Linked DNA regions of Nothobranchius furzeri. The protein of the gene in region 1 interacts with the protein of each later gene in a biochemical or structural test. Links are inferred from orthologs where the notes say so. Each region holds a gene or a part of one and is shown in the gene's direction. Other genes may lie near its edges.

Region 1 (4,226 bases):
CCTGTAAACTCCTCCAAAGATGTGCTTTCTACGCCTGAATAGGACGGGAGATTGGATGCATTGAGGAGCTGAGGGACCAAGCTCTTTTCTTCAGTTAATAAATGATCCAACAAGAATACCAACAATCTAAATGTGTTAAACAACAACCTGCTGTACACATGGACATGTAAAGAAAGGAACTTCACAATAAAAGCTCATTGCAAGAATTTAAACACTTTTATTTGAAGTCATGAGCTCCAAAGATAATTAAGAGAATGTCCATGCCTAGGTCGATTTCATTCATAGAGGAAGGTAGCGGAGGTTACTGCTGCAGCTGCTGCTAGCGTGCAGGCTCCACCATCAAAGACAGCCCGCCTGCAGTACACCTGCAGCAGATGTGGTCAGCCCAAGCGGCTGGACACTGGCCACACATTGCAGGCGTGTCCTACTGGGCATCTGTTGGCGGAAAGTCTGTAGAGGAGTGGAGGGAGGAGATGAAGAATAACATTAGAGGGAGATTGGATGTGTTGAGGAGCTGAGGGAGCAAGACAGAAAAACTGTCTTCACTTTTTTGGATTTTTCTTTTTAAAGACTTTTTGAGACTTTTTCTTTTATTATATATATATATATATATATATATATATATATATATATATATATATATATATATATATATATATATATAAACGAAAACACTTTAAATCTTTGAATGTTTTTATGATCCTGGACACAGATACATTTATTACATGTGTTTTATAACATCACAAATATATTTCAACACAGATGCATTTTTTCATATATATTCTATAATTTTACGTGTCTATTATCACAAATATATTTCACAGCTCAGTGGTTCTTCATCACAATTATAATTAAATTTAAAGTGGTAATAGTGAAAAATTATTTACATAATAATTAGTTTTATCAGATTTCGCATACATTAATACTTTTATATTCGCACTGAGCGGGAATCGAACCTACGCACTTCGACTCCCGGACAAAACAGTTAAAAAAAAACGAGAAGATCCGTTGTTTGTCAAAGCTTTTTTTTTTTGTTTGTTTGTTTTTGGCTCCTGGTTTTTTATTTAGTTTTTTGTTTAAAAGCAATCGGTTTTGCTTCACCATCTTATTAATGTAAACCTTTGTTAAATTTAGTACGTTTCCTTACTCGTGTTGTACATGCTATATCTTTCAATAAAGTAAAAATAAATAAATAAATAAATAAATAAATAAATAAATAAATAAATAAACCTGCAGCGAGGTTTCCTCTGAAATAGAGAGCCCTTTCAGCCAATCAGACGCGAGAAAGGGAGAAAGGTGGGACCTTCCTGGACATACTACGGTTCCAAATGACGCGCGTGGGAGGAGGCTGTGGTTGCGAGTCTGCGCCTGCGCCTGCCTGCCACTGAGAGGCGTCGCGAGCTCTGCTGGAAACTATACGGTGCTCAATTTTTCAAGATGTCGTCGTTGGAACAGAGGCTGTCGCGAATCGAAGAGAGACTAAAGCAGGAAAATGAAGAAGCTCGCCGGAGAATCGACCTTAACATCGACATGAGCCCGCAGCGATCACGTCCAAGGCCAAGTGAGTGTCCATCGGGGCGGACCGGTGTGTTGGTAACGGCTAGAATAGCAGGAAAGGTCTGAGAAGGGGTGGGCTACCAGATGCATGCTAACTGGCTAGCTACGTAAACAAACATCGGCTGACCTCGGTTATACTACCAAAAATCCAACTTAATAAGTGGAACAGCTCATGTGGGGAGAAATGTTGAGCAGAGTTCAAACCCGGATGCAATGTTATACTAGTTGTCGGTGACTATGTCATTTCGAAATATGTTCATTTCAGTCCTGTCAAACATGCTAAGCTAACAAGCTGTACGTTTTGTGATAGTTTGTAGCAGGCCTGGCGTCCGTTAGAAAAATGACTGTTTTATTCATTTTTGATATAAATTTACGGTCGTTTCAATAATGTAATTTTAAAGGAATGTTTGTTCTAAATGTGAGTGGTGTGTTTGGATGTGACTTTTGGGCATAATAAGTCAGGTCACTTATGCTATTTTTAATGTCTCGCGCTTAAGGGTAATTTAAACTGGTTACTTTTATCCTTAACCAACACTGGTTGTGGTTGGAGCGGATGTTAAAGCAACAATCAAACAGAAATTCTGAACAGGTTGTCTGTTTTTTAGAAATTTGTGAGTTTGGTCAAACGTTTTAATAGTTATGTTGCTCTTTTTGAGGTTGTCTTGTAATTAACCTGTTATGATTAAATGTTAGGTCTTTCTCGTAGCTTTACTGCATCTGTTTGGTTAAGATTTGTTAGTGTAAATGTGTCAGAAAGGCATACGAACTTGACTTGACAGGAGATGCTGTAATTATGGGCCATAGAGGGAAAATCTCTACAGAAATGCTACGCTTGCTACAGCTTCGTGACATGTAACAACGAGACCCTCATTGCTGTAGTAAATAACAAAAAGCTCCATATTGACTGCTGTAAGTTTGCTATTGAGTGATAGCTTAAAAATCTTTCATTATTACTGAATAGCATTGTTTTGAGCCATTATACCTACCTTTTCTAATAGTTTTCTTTTGTTGAGAGAACAGTGGTCGTTTGATCCAGCTAACAAGTGCTGATGAAGGTCATTTGACTGTCACAGATGCTTCAAAAATTTACAGATGAGAAATGCATCAGGTCCAAATAACTCAGATTTGTTGGAGCCATGATACTGCTCACAATTATGCAGAATAATCATTTAAATGAGATAAAGATTGACCTTTGTTTAATCATAATATTTCCATAAGACACAACAGAGTTCATTATTTTGCCCAAGGACACTTTGTCTTGTGGAGAAACTGTAATTATACTACCAGCTCTCAGATTGGAAGTTGACCGCTCTACCAGCCGAGCCGCAGCTGTCTCAGACAGGGCAGTAACATGTTTCACATCCTGAGACCTCTGACTTTAAAAAAATCTCCTCTTGGTTTACCAGCTGGTGTTGAGCAAATAAGCTTGTAACTGAATATTTGGTGTGGAGAACTAAAAGGTCAGACATCAAATGCAACTTGACTTCATCGAGCTCTAAAAGTGAGAATATTTAAATCTTTTTTTTAATCTTTTTTATACTTTGTTTGGTTTTTTATTTATTGTTTTGTTTGTTTGTGAAGCGCCTCACGATTTTTATCTCAAGATGCTGTTTTTAAAAGAATGTTTTTTCTTTCTAACATTTTTATAGCAAAGAGATCAAAATGGATGTAATAGGGAGCCTAATGGGCCATTCCCATCTGTACCGGGTAGTCCCAGTCGGCCCCAGCCTGGCCCGGTTGATTCCACACATCCTTGCCTTAAGCCCATGTGGGCTGATTCTACCCACCAATCAGAGGCTTGCTCTAATGGAAGGTGTGAATTTGCTGTCAGCAGTGGGTGTGTTGGCCCTGGTCGGCCTGAATCAGACCCCTCGAGAAGAGGGCTGAGAATGAGCCTTGGTTTGCCCGGGAAAATACCAGGCCACCCAGATATGTAAACAACCTACGCTGCCTGGGCCGACCCGGTACAGATGGGAATGGCCCATAAGTCTCCTCCTTGTCCGGTTAGCTCATGGGTCCCTTGAAGAATGAAAAAATGAATGCAAATGAACAGAGGTAAAAGAACTATTTTCTAATCCGCTTTGCCTTACGCCCTGGATCACACACATGTTGCACTTCAATTTAAATGAACACTATAGGTGTTTCAACCAGCTTGTAAAAGTTTGTGATTATTATGATTACAAAAAATATGTTGGCACGTCACATAGATGACATCATCACAGGATCTCCTCTGCCCCAGCATAGCCGTTACTTACCCCATGGTCAGATTTCTGGTGAATTTCTTTCCTCCTGAAAGAAAGATTTGAAGTTCACTGAACTATAGGGCTGTCACAAACAACTCTTTTATAGTCGACTGATCGTGTCATGCATTAAAGTTTAGGTTTTTGCACCAGGATGCTCTTAATATACCCATTGTTAGCTTCTAGTTTGAAGTGTGATCAGCTGTGTGGCATCTAATGATAAAGACAAGATGATAACTTATCAAACAACTTTTAATTAACTTTGTAACCTATTAATACAAATGCTATAGTCAAATGGAGGTAGGCACCTAAAACCAAAAATAAATTGTACTCAAAAATGACTTGTGTTCACAAAAGGCATGGTGACAAGGGTGAAGCGCTTCGTCTTCTAATCTTAACTCAGGAAATGGCAGGACACACCAAGGTATG
Region 2 (3,458 bases), on another chromosome or scaffold:
TAAGAACTAAATCTAAATGTAGTCATTAAACTGTTGCTATACAGTTTTAATAGTGTGCAGATTCATCACGTGACTTCTTGTTTTGCCTCATGAACTCTGAGTTTTCTGCATCATGATGACTCATTAAGTATTAACCTATAACCACATGGAGACAGCAGAATCATGCATTTCCCGGGCATCTTTTAAATATTTTGTATTTAAAATACAATTTATTTTATTTCAGGCTTTTTATTTAAATAATTATTTTTAAAATTTATTTCTCTAGGAAAAAACATGTCAACATCTTGCTGATAAGGAATGGAGCCCTCTGCGCATCATCCTCTCACAAACTAACCCACCACTAACCCTAACTACAGCACGGCCGATGGACCTGAGCGTAAAACAGCCTTCTGGTTGTTTTGTCTTGATAAATCCATCAGTTTCTCACAGATCGTAAAGCTACGTTTATATGATCTTCGTGTCTAAATCCTGCTCATGTTTTCTGTCTGAAACTGTTCATCAGTGAAAACTTGACTCGTTCTCTGTTTTTTTATTTTTATTATTAAAAATTCCCTCTGGTTTCTTTTAGGATTCATAGGAATCATCAGACTTTTGTTTTCAGTTTCATTTCTTCCTCTTCCTCCCTGATCACGAGCATCCAGAAACTGGATGCAACAGAACCCCCGGGACCCCCCCGGGACCCCCCCAACGGGGCCGGTGTTCGGAACACCGAATGGAGACGTGTTCTGGTTTCACTGCTGCAGGGGCGCCGCTAGGGGCGCCCTTGGGCTTTGCAGGAAGCCAGAATGTGAGGCATGAATCTGCAGCGCAGAAGTGATTCCATCCATCTTCTTTAACCGCCGCATGGTCGCGCGGGTTGGTGTGCAGAAGTAAATAATTCAGAGCTTTTTATGCACAAAATAGTTGTATTTATATTTTAGAGTGTCTGCTCTGTGTGCTGCAGCTGCCTGATCATAGTAGCACAGGTGTTGTGTCTTGACCTGGAATATCATAAAGCAGGACCTCCAGCTGCACGACCAGCGATGGGTCATCTGATCTTCTCGTGCTGGAGAATCTCGCTGTTGCACAACCTGCAGCGCGTTGTACAATGGTGGGGGTGGAGGGTGCGTGCTGCTGCGACACAAGGCTGGTCACCTGCTCCCGCTTCTTATCCGGGTTCTGCATAAAGTCGTGCCTGCATGGATTCAGATTGAGGAGGAGTCGTGAAAAGGGACTTTTTTTTTGGGGGGGGGGTCTGGAGTAGCAAGGAGGATGAGGAGGAAGATCTGGAAATTCCTCCTCAAGACAGAAAAACCCTCCCAGTAAACAAACTGACAGAGAGAGGGGAGGGGAGAAGTGCGGGGGATTCTCCGAAACCACCCACGTGGGATCGCCGGTTTCTGCTGCGTGCTCGGCCAATCAGCGAGTGTCTTTTGATAGCAGAGGGCCAATCAGTGCTCGAGCAGTTGCTCGCGTTGACGGGAGGCTATAAAAGCGGAGAGTTTCATCTTTTAGAAGCAGAACGCTTCTCTCTCACACACGGAAACCAGCAGCAGGACCTGTCCCTATTACCGGACCTTGGTACCGATCTGGATTAACGCTTGCTTGGCACTTCATCTCTGGAGCTTACCGGAACAGCTGAGCGCTGTGGATATTTGCCTTTATCCTGGATCTTGTGGATTATTTAACTGACTTCGACATGACTCTGGAGGAAGTTGTTGGGTCTAGCAGCACCGAGAAAAAGTAAGTATTTGCTTTCAGATGATGCGTAATTACGCACAAGCTCACATTTTAGTGCAAATGATGCAAGATTATCAGAGTGTTTAGAGCTCGCGCCGGTTCTGTTGCGTTCTGTGCCGGTTTCGGTCCCGTCTAACCGCCTCTGTGTCTCTGCAGGATGGAGCCGGTGAGTCAGGCTCTGGAGGAGCTGCTGGTGGCGGCGCAGCGGCAGGACTGCCTCACCGTGGGAGTCTACGAGTCCGCCAAACTCATGAATGTGTAAGTAGGAGCTGTGACCGACTGGTGCCTGTACGCGCGCCGGTGCTGGTTCTGACCCGGTTCTGTTCTCCTCCTACAGAGATCCGGACAGCGTGGTCCTTTGCCTCCTAGCCACAGATGAGGAGGATGAAGATGACATCGCGCTGCAGATCCACTTCACGCTGCTTCAGGCTTTCTGCTGCGACAACGACATCAACATCCTGCGGGTGTCCGGGATCCGGCGGCTAGCCCAGCTGCTGGGCGACGACACCGAGGACGGGAACGGCAACGGGGGCGAGCCCCGGGACCTGCACTGCATCCTGGTCACTGTAAGTTCTGAGCTCGCGCTGCTGCATCAATGGACCTGACTTAGATCAGAACCAGGAGATGAATCTGTGTTGCATGAAACTAAAGCAAATGTCCGCCTTGTTCTGCAGAATCCCCCGGTCCACCCGCTGCAGTGCCAGGCCCTGCAGGACGTCAGCAGCTTCTGCAAGGAGAGCCGCTGTAAGAACCAGTGGGTCCCCTGCCTGGAGCTGCAGGACCGCTAACTGGCGCCGAACCGAGCAGAACCGCCGAGGAGCGGTGGATGGAGCTGAATTAACGCAAACGACCAGTCCTCGTGAGAAGAGGCGTAACGGCGTTTGAGAGGCGCGGGACCGAGCCGTGGATGCATAAACCGACCCATCCGGTCAGGAGCGCGTGAGGTGTCGTTGCTGGTTCCGAGAGCCGAACCGAACTGGACCGTGCTGGATGGCGGAGTTACAGAGATGGAGGCGTTTTGATGCGATGAGTGATAGCGAGGAGCTGCACGTGACGTTCCGGACTGGGCTGCAAGTGATGCAGGTGTTCCGCTCACCTGTTCGGACACAACTGGACACTTTGTTTTACAGTGACGTCATGTCTGATTATTTACCTGATGGAAGAATGAATCAGCGTGTTGATGTAAATAAACAGTTGAAAGATAAATGACTTCCCGAGTGTTTCGTGCGTGTGTGTGTGTGCGTGCGTGCGTGTGTGTGTGTGCGTGCGTGCGTGTGTGTGTGCGTGCGTGCGTGTGTGTGTGCGTGCGTGTGTGTGCGTGCGTGTGTGTGCGTGCGTGTGTGTGTGCGTGCGTGCGTGTGTGTGCGTGCGTGCGTGTGTGTGTGCGTGCGTGCGTGTGTGTGCGTGCGTGCGTGCGTGTGTGTGTGCGTGCGTGCGTGCGTGTGTGTGTGTGCGTGCGTGCGTGTGTGTGTGAACTAAGTTCGGTTCTGAAAGGGTGCTGGGATACTGTCAGACTTACAGCCAGCAGCCTCAGGCACAGGAAGTGCTTATGCAAGAGTTTATCCCGGTGCATCATGGGAAGTGTAGTCATCTGCAGAATGAGCCGGAAGAGTTCCTCAGAGTTCAGATTAAAGGACCTGGAGTCATTTCTTCTTCAAAACAAAACTGATGAGAAGCAAACAGAGTCAGAAATAATGAATCCTTTACTTAAACTGATTATCGCATCAACATCTGGGATC
Region 3 (4,035 bases), on another chromosome or scaffold:
GCAGATCACATTGTCCATCTATGGTCGCGATGTAAACAAACTTTGGACCAGGAGCTGGTTGCATACTTCACACAAAAGCTCATGGGGGCTAGTAATTAAGTGGACACAAAGAAAAATGACGAACATTTGTTTTTGGTTTTTCCTGCTAGAGTGAGTGCACAGCAGCCACAACAATGGCAAATGAACACACATATAAAAAATGCAGAAACAAAACACCAAAAATAAACTATAAGATTATGTCATTTAGTTAAAAAAAGTGCTATTTCTGAGCATGAAAAATCATCCATTAAATACAAATGAAAAGATTAGTTATGTTAACTGAGCAGTTACTGCCCCCGTGTGGCAGAAACCTTTACAGCAGCTCAGATTTCAGCACCACCGGCCGTGAACAGCTCCCTGAGCAATGATCTCCGACACGTCCTCACCATCGGTCCTCACTAAAAAATTTTTTAGGATAAATGTCACTGTAGCCTTTGATCACTGTTGGTTAAAAAAGTATGATTTGTCTATATTATCTATTCAGAGTCAAGTGTTTTATTCCAAGTTATTTATACGCTAAAGTAATCACATGTTTTTTAAACTTTTTAAGTGAATGGACCCATGTTATGGAAGATCTATAGTCTAATAAAGAATTTATATTTTTACAGCAGAATTCCCTTTTTACCATTCTGTTTGTTTTATACATCATATTTTAAATGGTGTTCCTCCAGTTAGTTAAAGTAGTTAAACAAGTTTAAACAAACTAAATAAAGCGTAATGACAGTGACATTGATTGAGATTTGGTGATATAATATCATGACCATGCTTAAGGTAAGACTGTTCATACGGCTCCCTTACACATGCTTATAGATATGTTATTAATCAATCTATTTTACTGTAATAAATAATAAATAATTATTATTCTGCATCAATTAAGGGTGAAGAAGAGAGAACAGATTTGGCTCACACAAAGCTGGTCAGTTGTCTCTTTTTCTTGTCCTTTAATAAGCAATTATTGATAAAGTGTTCCAGATTAATAATAACAAACAATTTATTGATATTTTGAGGAGAGCCATGTTTTAAAGTGGTTCAATTCTTGTCTTTTACATAAATTATATTATTAGTTTTAAATAATAATAATTATCATTGATGATTAAAACCACCTGAAGATCAAACGTAGTGTTTGTGTTTTCTGTTTATTTACTTTTTGTATCCGAGCATAATTTATAACGTATGTGCGCCCCTTCAGCCTCCTCTTGGAAACGAGGCTGACGTCTCCCGCTCCTCCTCCTCCTCTCTCTCACCCCCTCCTTTCTCCTCCTCGCTCCGCTGCCTGTCTCTGCACTGCTGGCCCGTTGCTGTTGTGTCACAAGCAGCATCACGGCAGCAGACGTTTGCCGAGCAAATCACGGACTGCGGTCGAAGAAAATAAAAAACGCGAGGACTTAGCGCTAGATGCATCGATCAGGGAACACGGGGATCTCCGCGAACGTCTCTCGCTGCCTCTGAAGCACATTTCCCTCCCGGATGGGTTCACTGCAGTCAGATTTGATGGTGTTGAGCAGGCTCGTCTGATCCAAGGCTTCCGGCCAGGCGGGCATCATCCGCGGGGACGCAGAGCGCGCGACCACACCGCAGTCCAGGACCGCGTCCGTCCTCTGGCCTGTGATTGTTCATGGACTGCGCTTCCTTCCGTGATTTTCTGCAGTCTCTCTGAGTCATTCGTAGTAGAAGATGGCGGACAGGGCTGAGATGTTTTCTCTATCCACTTTTCACTCCCTCTCCCCACCCGGATGCAGGTAAGAGCTTATGATAGAGGGCAGGAGGAGAGAAATGGTGATGGCGGAGGAGGCGATGGGTGAAAATAAGGCAAAGGGGCGACATTGTTACTCATATTTAACCGGATTATTGCCAAAAAATAAATAAACACCCCCAAAAACATGCCTAATCCAGCCTGTAGGTAGTTATTGATGAATATTTTAGGCCTGATGGTGATGATGGGCGCCTGTAAGAATTATTTTTTAACAAATAAAAAGCATTTTGTGAAAATTATGAATGAAATAAAGATACGAATTATCAAAATGATCAAGATGTAATTTTGCAGACAGCCAGCGTTTGCGCATTCTCTGAGAGAGGCCCACGCCCTGTTGAGTCCAACCCAAAGCAAGGGCATGGTGCTGAACAATGATGCATGCAAGTCTCACTGATGCTGTTGTAAAGGATCTTTTATGTCGTCAAGTTTGATCACGTTTTCATGCCTTCTGAACACAACAGAGCAGATTTCTGCTGCTGCAGAGGTAGTTGTTGGTTTGTTTTTGCTGCTTTCAGCTGTTTATCCTGATGACTTAACAAAATCAATTAGCTTTGCAGCATAATAATAATAATAATAATAATAATAATAATAATAATAATAATAATAATAATAATAATAATAATAATACATTTTATTTAAAAGCGCCTTTCAGGACACCCAAGGTCACTTTACACAAAACACGCAATAAAATACAATAAAACAATAATAAAACCCAAAGAAGAAAAAAACAGAGAGAAACATTTCAATAAAATCAGAGGTTGTAGGCAGATTTAAACATGTGTGTTTTGAGTTTTGTTTTGAAAAGGGTAAAACTGTCGACGTTCCTGATGTCTGGGGGAAGTGAGTTCCAGAGTCGAGGAGCAGAGCGGCTGAAAGCTCTGCTCCCCATAGTAGTGAGACGGGCAGAAGGAACCGCAAGATGGATGGAAGAAGAAGATCTGAGTGAACGGGACGGGGTGTGAATACTTATAAGGTCTGAGATATATGGAGGAGAGAGGTTGTGGATTGCTTTGAAGGTATGGAGGAGAATTTTGAAGATGGACCTGAATTTAACTGGGAGCCAGTGAAGCTGCTGGAGAACCGGCGTGATGTGGTGAAAGGAAGGGATTCTGGTGATAATACGGGCTGCTGAATTCTGGACGAGTTGCAGTTTATGAAGGAGTTTGTTGGGAAGACCATAAAGGAGTGAATTGCAATAGTCGATACGGGAGGTGACTAGGCTGTGGACGAGAATGGCGGCAGTGTGAGGGGTCAGTGAGGGACGAAGACGGTTTATGGAACGTAGATGGAAGTATGCTGACCGAATTATGTTATTAATAATAATAATACATCATTATAGCCTCCTGATATAGAAACTTTATATTGTTGAGTCTATAAAATGTAAAATCAAAAGTAGAATAACACGGCTGCACACGGTAATGACATGCATGATTTAAAGTGTTTGGCTTCTTACAGATTTCTTGTTTTTGCTTTTTTTGTCACCCAACACTTTAATTAGACAAAGGCAACTCGAGTAAATACAGTATGTAGTTTAAAATTATTCATTTTATAAAAGAAAAAAAGCCCCAAATTAACCTGACCCAGTGAAAAAGTCATTGCTCCTCTTGTTAAATTATGACTTAACTGGGAATAATCAGATTAATTGGAAGCATGAGCTTGGTTCCACCAGTCAGCCAAAGCTAGGCCTTATTACTGTCAGACATGTAGAATGAAGAGCTGAACAATCTCAAAAGCAACACATCTAACAAATCCAGAACAATCTATGATTCAAGCTTGCAGGAGCAAAAATTGCCTCCACGTAAGAGTTCAAGGACCTCTGCTGACCAAAAAAGAAGACAAATGCCCATCTCACTTTTGTCAAAACTATTAAATTAAAACAAGTCCAACAAGACGAATTAGTTAAAATTCCTCCCCAGTGATGTGAGAATCTTTTAGTCCAAGGTTTGAGTTCGGTTGTAAATTTGGTTGCTGATCTTAAATGTGTGAGCAAAAAGGAAAATTTCAGCAAAAGCATTGTCACAACACCATCATTTGCAGAAACAAAAGTCTGACGTTGATAATCAGGTGAACCCCGACTCGTCTGCACATGCAGCGTTGTGAGCGTCATCACGTCCTAACCAGGTTCAGCCTAAAGCATCAGAATAAACGCAGCATAACATCCTGCTTCCACATGTCCTACAGAGGCAGCAACAGTAGTAAACAACTTCTGGTGCATTTTCTATCCAAGCTGTGTCTTCATGTGG
Region 4 (3,566 bases), on another chromosome or scaffold:
TCTTACGTGTTCTATTCACGTGTTCTTACGTTTTCTTACATGTTCTTACGTGTTCTATTCACGTGTTCTTACATGTTCTATTCACTTGTTCTATTCATGTGTTCTTATGTGTTCTATTCACATATTCTTATGTGTTCTATTCACATGTTCTATTCACGTGTTCTTACGTGTTCTATTCACGTGTTCTTACATGTTCTTACGTGTTCTATTCACGTGTTCTTACGTGTTCTATTCACGTGTTCTATTCATGTGTTCTTACATGTTCTTACGTGTTCTATTCACGTGTTCTATGCACGTGTTCTTACATTTTCTTACATGTTCTTACGTGTTCTATTCACGTGTTCTTACATGTTCTATTCACTTGTTCTATTCATGTGTTCTTACGTGTTCTATTCACGTGTTCTTACGTGTTCTATTCATCTATTCACGTGTTCTTACGTGTTCTATTCACGTGTTCTATTCATGTGTTCTTATGTGTTCTATTCACGTGTTCTATTCACGTGTTCTTATGTGTTCTATTCACGTGTTCTTACGTGTTCTATTCACGTGTTCTATTCACGTGTTCTATTCCCGTGTTCTATTCACGTGTTCTTACGTGTTCTATTCACATGTTCTTACGTGTTCTATTCACGTGTTCTATTCCCGTGTTCTATTCAGGTGTTCTTACGTGTTCTATTCACGTGTTCTTACGTGTTCTACTCACGTGTTCTATTCACGTGTTCTTACGTGTTCTATTCACGTGTTCTTACGTGTTCTATTCACGTGTTCTTACGTGTTCTATTCACGTGTTCTTACGTGTTCTATTCACATGTTCTATTCACGTGTTCTTATGTGTTCTATTCACGTGTCCTATTCCCATGTTCTATTCACGTGTTCTTACGTGTTCTATTCACGTGTTCTTACATGTTCTTACGTGTTCTATTCATGTGTTCTTACGTGTTCTATTCACATGTTCTATTCACGTGTTCTTACATGTTCTTACGTGTTCTATTCACGTGTTCTATTCACGTGTTCTTACGTTTTCTTACATGTTCTTACATGTTCTATTCACGTGTTCTTACATGGTCTATTCACTTGTTCTATTCATGTGTTCTTACGTGTTCTATTCACGTGTTCTTACGTGTTCTATTTATCTATTCACTTGTTCTTACGTGTTCTATTCACGTTTTCTATTCATGTGTTCTTATGTGTTCTATTCACGTGTTCTTACGTGTTCTATTCACGTGTTCTTACGTGTTCTATTCACGTGTTCTATTCCCGTGTTCTATTCACGTGTTCTTACGTGTTCTATTTACGTGTTCTTACGTGTTCTATTCACGTGTTCTATTCACGTGTTCTATTCACGTGTTCTTACGTGTTCTATTCACGTGTTCTATTCCCGTGTTCTATTCACGTGTTCTTACGTGTTCTATTCACATGTTCTTACGTGTTCTACTCACGTGTTCTATTCACGTGTTCTTACGTGTTCTATTCACGTGTTCTTATGTGTTCTATTCACGTGTTCTTACGTGTTCCATTCACCTGTTCTTACGTGTTCTATTCACATGTTATATTCACGTGTTCTTATGTGTTCTATTCACATGTTCTTACATGTTCTATTCACGTGTTCTTACGTTTTCTATTCACATGTTATATTCACGTGTTCTTATGTGTTCTATTCACGTGTTCTATTCCCGTGTTCTATTCACGTGTACTTACGTGTTCCATTCACGTGTTCTTACATGTTCTATTCACGTGTTCTTACGTGTTCTATTCACGTGTTCTATTCACGTGTTCTATTCCCGTGTTCTATTTACGTGTTCTTACGTGTTCTATTCACGTGTTCTTACATGTTCTATTCACGTGTTCTTTTCATGAGTTCTATTCACGTGTTCTTAGGTGTTCTATTCACGTGTGTTTTCATGGCCATTTAAAACAAAAATAGGTGCTCCGGTTTATCACATGTTGTCTCTTTTGCTGATCTTTGTTGCAGCAGCTGAGCTGTTTGAGGACAAGAACGTTCACCTTCCCCTCGTGACGGTGCTGTCATCTTACATCAGCAGCAAAGGAGTCCAGCAGGTAATCTGCCCCCCCCCCCCCTTACAGGAGGAGGTTGTTCGTGCTTAATGTGGTTAAAAAGTAACCGCCAGTGGCCCGTCCACCCGATCCACCGTGTTTATGACGTCTTGTGACTGTAATGCGTTCTGGCTTATGAGAAGTTTACAGCATGTTAAAACTGAAAGCCACATTATGGGATGGAATATGTGTTCAGACAGGAATGACTGCTCTCAACATGCCTCTAGAATGTGTTTCATCTGATTCTGCTCTCATTACGTGTCAGTTTGATTGTTATTGTTCAAATCAAACGTGAGGTTTTTGTTTGGACAGGAGGGCTGGTTGCTGCTGTGTAAGCTGATTGAAATATGTCCCAGAACGCTGGAGCATCTCAGCCAACCTCTGGAGGCAGCCGTGGACTGGGAGATCCTGGCAGTGCACCAGTAAGTGAAGACTGGTTGGTCTGGTGGTGTCACCTGCATGTTCACAAGTCAGAGACTCTGGTAACATGGAGGTCCTCCTGGTCCCACCACAGACTGACCTGGACTCTGTTATCCAGTTCAGACCAGCTTAGTTCACCCCTGATTTAATAAACAACAGCAGCAGATTGAACCCAACTTCCCTCCAACCCAACCCAACATCTTGAGCAAGCACGTGGCGAAAGTTCAAGACTGGACCTTCAGCGCAACCAGAACCAGGATGAGTGGCCTTTTGCCTCCATGTTTTAGAATCTGCCTCTGAGAGGGGATCCAATTTTAGAAACATTAGCTGAAAATCTTAAAGGGGACATTTAATTATGTTTTTTTATGAAGTTATAATAATTTGAGGTGGCTCGGGCATCTGGTCAGGAGGCCTCCTTGACTTTGGTGAGGTTTTCTGGGCACGTCTAACCGGGAGGAGACCTAAAGGTAGACCCAGGACACGCTGGAGGGACTGTGTCTCATGGCTGGCCAGGGATTCCCCAGGAGGAGCTGGCCCAAGTGGCTGGGGAGAGGGAAGTCTGGGCCTCCCTTCTTAGGCTACTGGCCCCCGTGACCCGACCCCAGATAAGTGGCCGAAAACGGATGGTTGATACAAAACATGTTTATGACAGTCTTGCACTAAATCCCTGTCACATCGAGCAACACCAGCAGTTTTATTCTTGACAGTTTCAGTACCTTCCAGAATGATCCGTTTCAGGGCTCTGTCACTTTAAGAAAACGAGCTGGAGCTAGCCATACCCACCTCCCCACTCAGGCTGCTATGAGCTGAGAAGCTCCTATATCAGGGATAGGTTTATCCCTTTAATAGTGGCTCCTCATGTGTCTGCTATGTCACAATCTGTCCTGTCTCCAGTCTCTGTTCAGTCCTGAGTCTTTACTAATTGCTCCCACCTGCCTTTCGTCTCCCAGTTCTTCCTGTATCTGATCCCTCCCAGTTCTATGTTCTTCGTCTGTTCACTGTTTCAGTGTCTCGCTTGCTCCTCATTAAAGCCTTTTCTGAATGTTCCTGCCTGCCTTTTTCCCCTGCACCTTGGATCCTCACCTCAACCT

Evidence for each region.
Region 2: the proteins of map2k7 (region 1) and growth arrest and DNA damage-inducible protein GADD45 beta form a complex in vitro, tested with the Homo sapiens proteins (2 studies listed by BioGRID and IntAct). The link is inferred for Nothobranchius furzeri from reciprocal best matches to the Homo sapiens genes MAP2K7 and GADD45B.
Region 3: the proteins of map2k7 (region 1) and mapk8ip2 form a complex in vitro, tested with the Homo sapiens proteins (2 studies listed by BioGRID). The link is inferred for Nothobranchius furzeri from reciprocal best matches to the Homo sapiens genes MAP2K7 and MAPK8IP2.
Region 4: of the proteins of map2k7 (region 1) and lrrk2, one has a biochemical effect on the other in vitro, tested with the Homo sapiens proteins (2 studies listed by BioGRID). The link is inferred for Nothobranchius furzeri from reciprocal best matches to the Homo sapiens genes MAP2K7 and LRRK2.

What each region holds. Positions count from the first base shown.
Region 1 is NC_091747.1:73,509,527-73,513,752, forward strand, and holds the start of map2k7 (dual specificity mitogen-activated protein kinase kinase 7), read left to right. Parts: upstream 1-1,365; 5' UTR 1,366-1,437; coding exon 1,438-1,561; intron 1,562-4,226. UniProt on the Homo sapiens protein: Dual specificity protein kinase which acts as an essential component of the MAP kinase signal transduction pathway. Essential component of the stress-activated protein kinase/c-Jun N-terminal kinase (SAP/JNK) signaling pathway.
Region 2 is NC_091748.1:78,786,124-78,789,581, forward strand, and holds growth arrest and DNA damage-inducible protein GADD45 beta, read left to right. Parts: upstream 1-1,492; 5' UTR 1,493-1,678; coding exon 1,679-1,722; intron 1,723-1,875; coding exon 1,876-1,977; intron 1,978-2,056; coding exon 2,057-2,285; intron 2,286-2,393; coding exon 2,394-2,507; 3' UTR 2,508-2,925; downstream 2,926-3,458.
Region 3 is NC_091744.1:72,543,423-72,547,457, reverse strand, and holds the start of mapk8ip2 (C-Jun-amino-terminal kinase-interacting protein 2), read left to right. Parts: upstream 1-1,228; 5' UTR 1,229-1,713; coding exon 1,714-1,778; intron 1,779-4,035. UniProt on the Homo sapiens protein: The JNK-interacting protein (JIP) group of scaffold proteins selectively mediates JNK signaling by aggregating specific components of the MAPK cascade to form a functional JNK signaling module.
Region 4 is NC_091744.1:48,425,652-48,429,217, forward strand, and holds part of lrrk2 (leucine-rich repeat serine/threonine-protein kinase 2), read left to right. Parts: intron 1-1,972; coding exon 1,973-2,058; intron 2,059-2,367; coding exon 2,368-2,477; intron 2,478-3,566. UniProt on the Homo sapiens protein: Serine/threonine-protein kinase which phosphorylates a broad range of proteins involved in multiple processes such as neuronal plasticity, innate immunity, autophagy, and vesicle trafficking.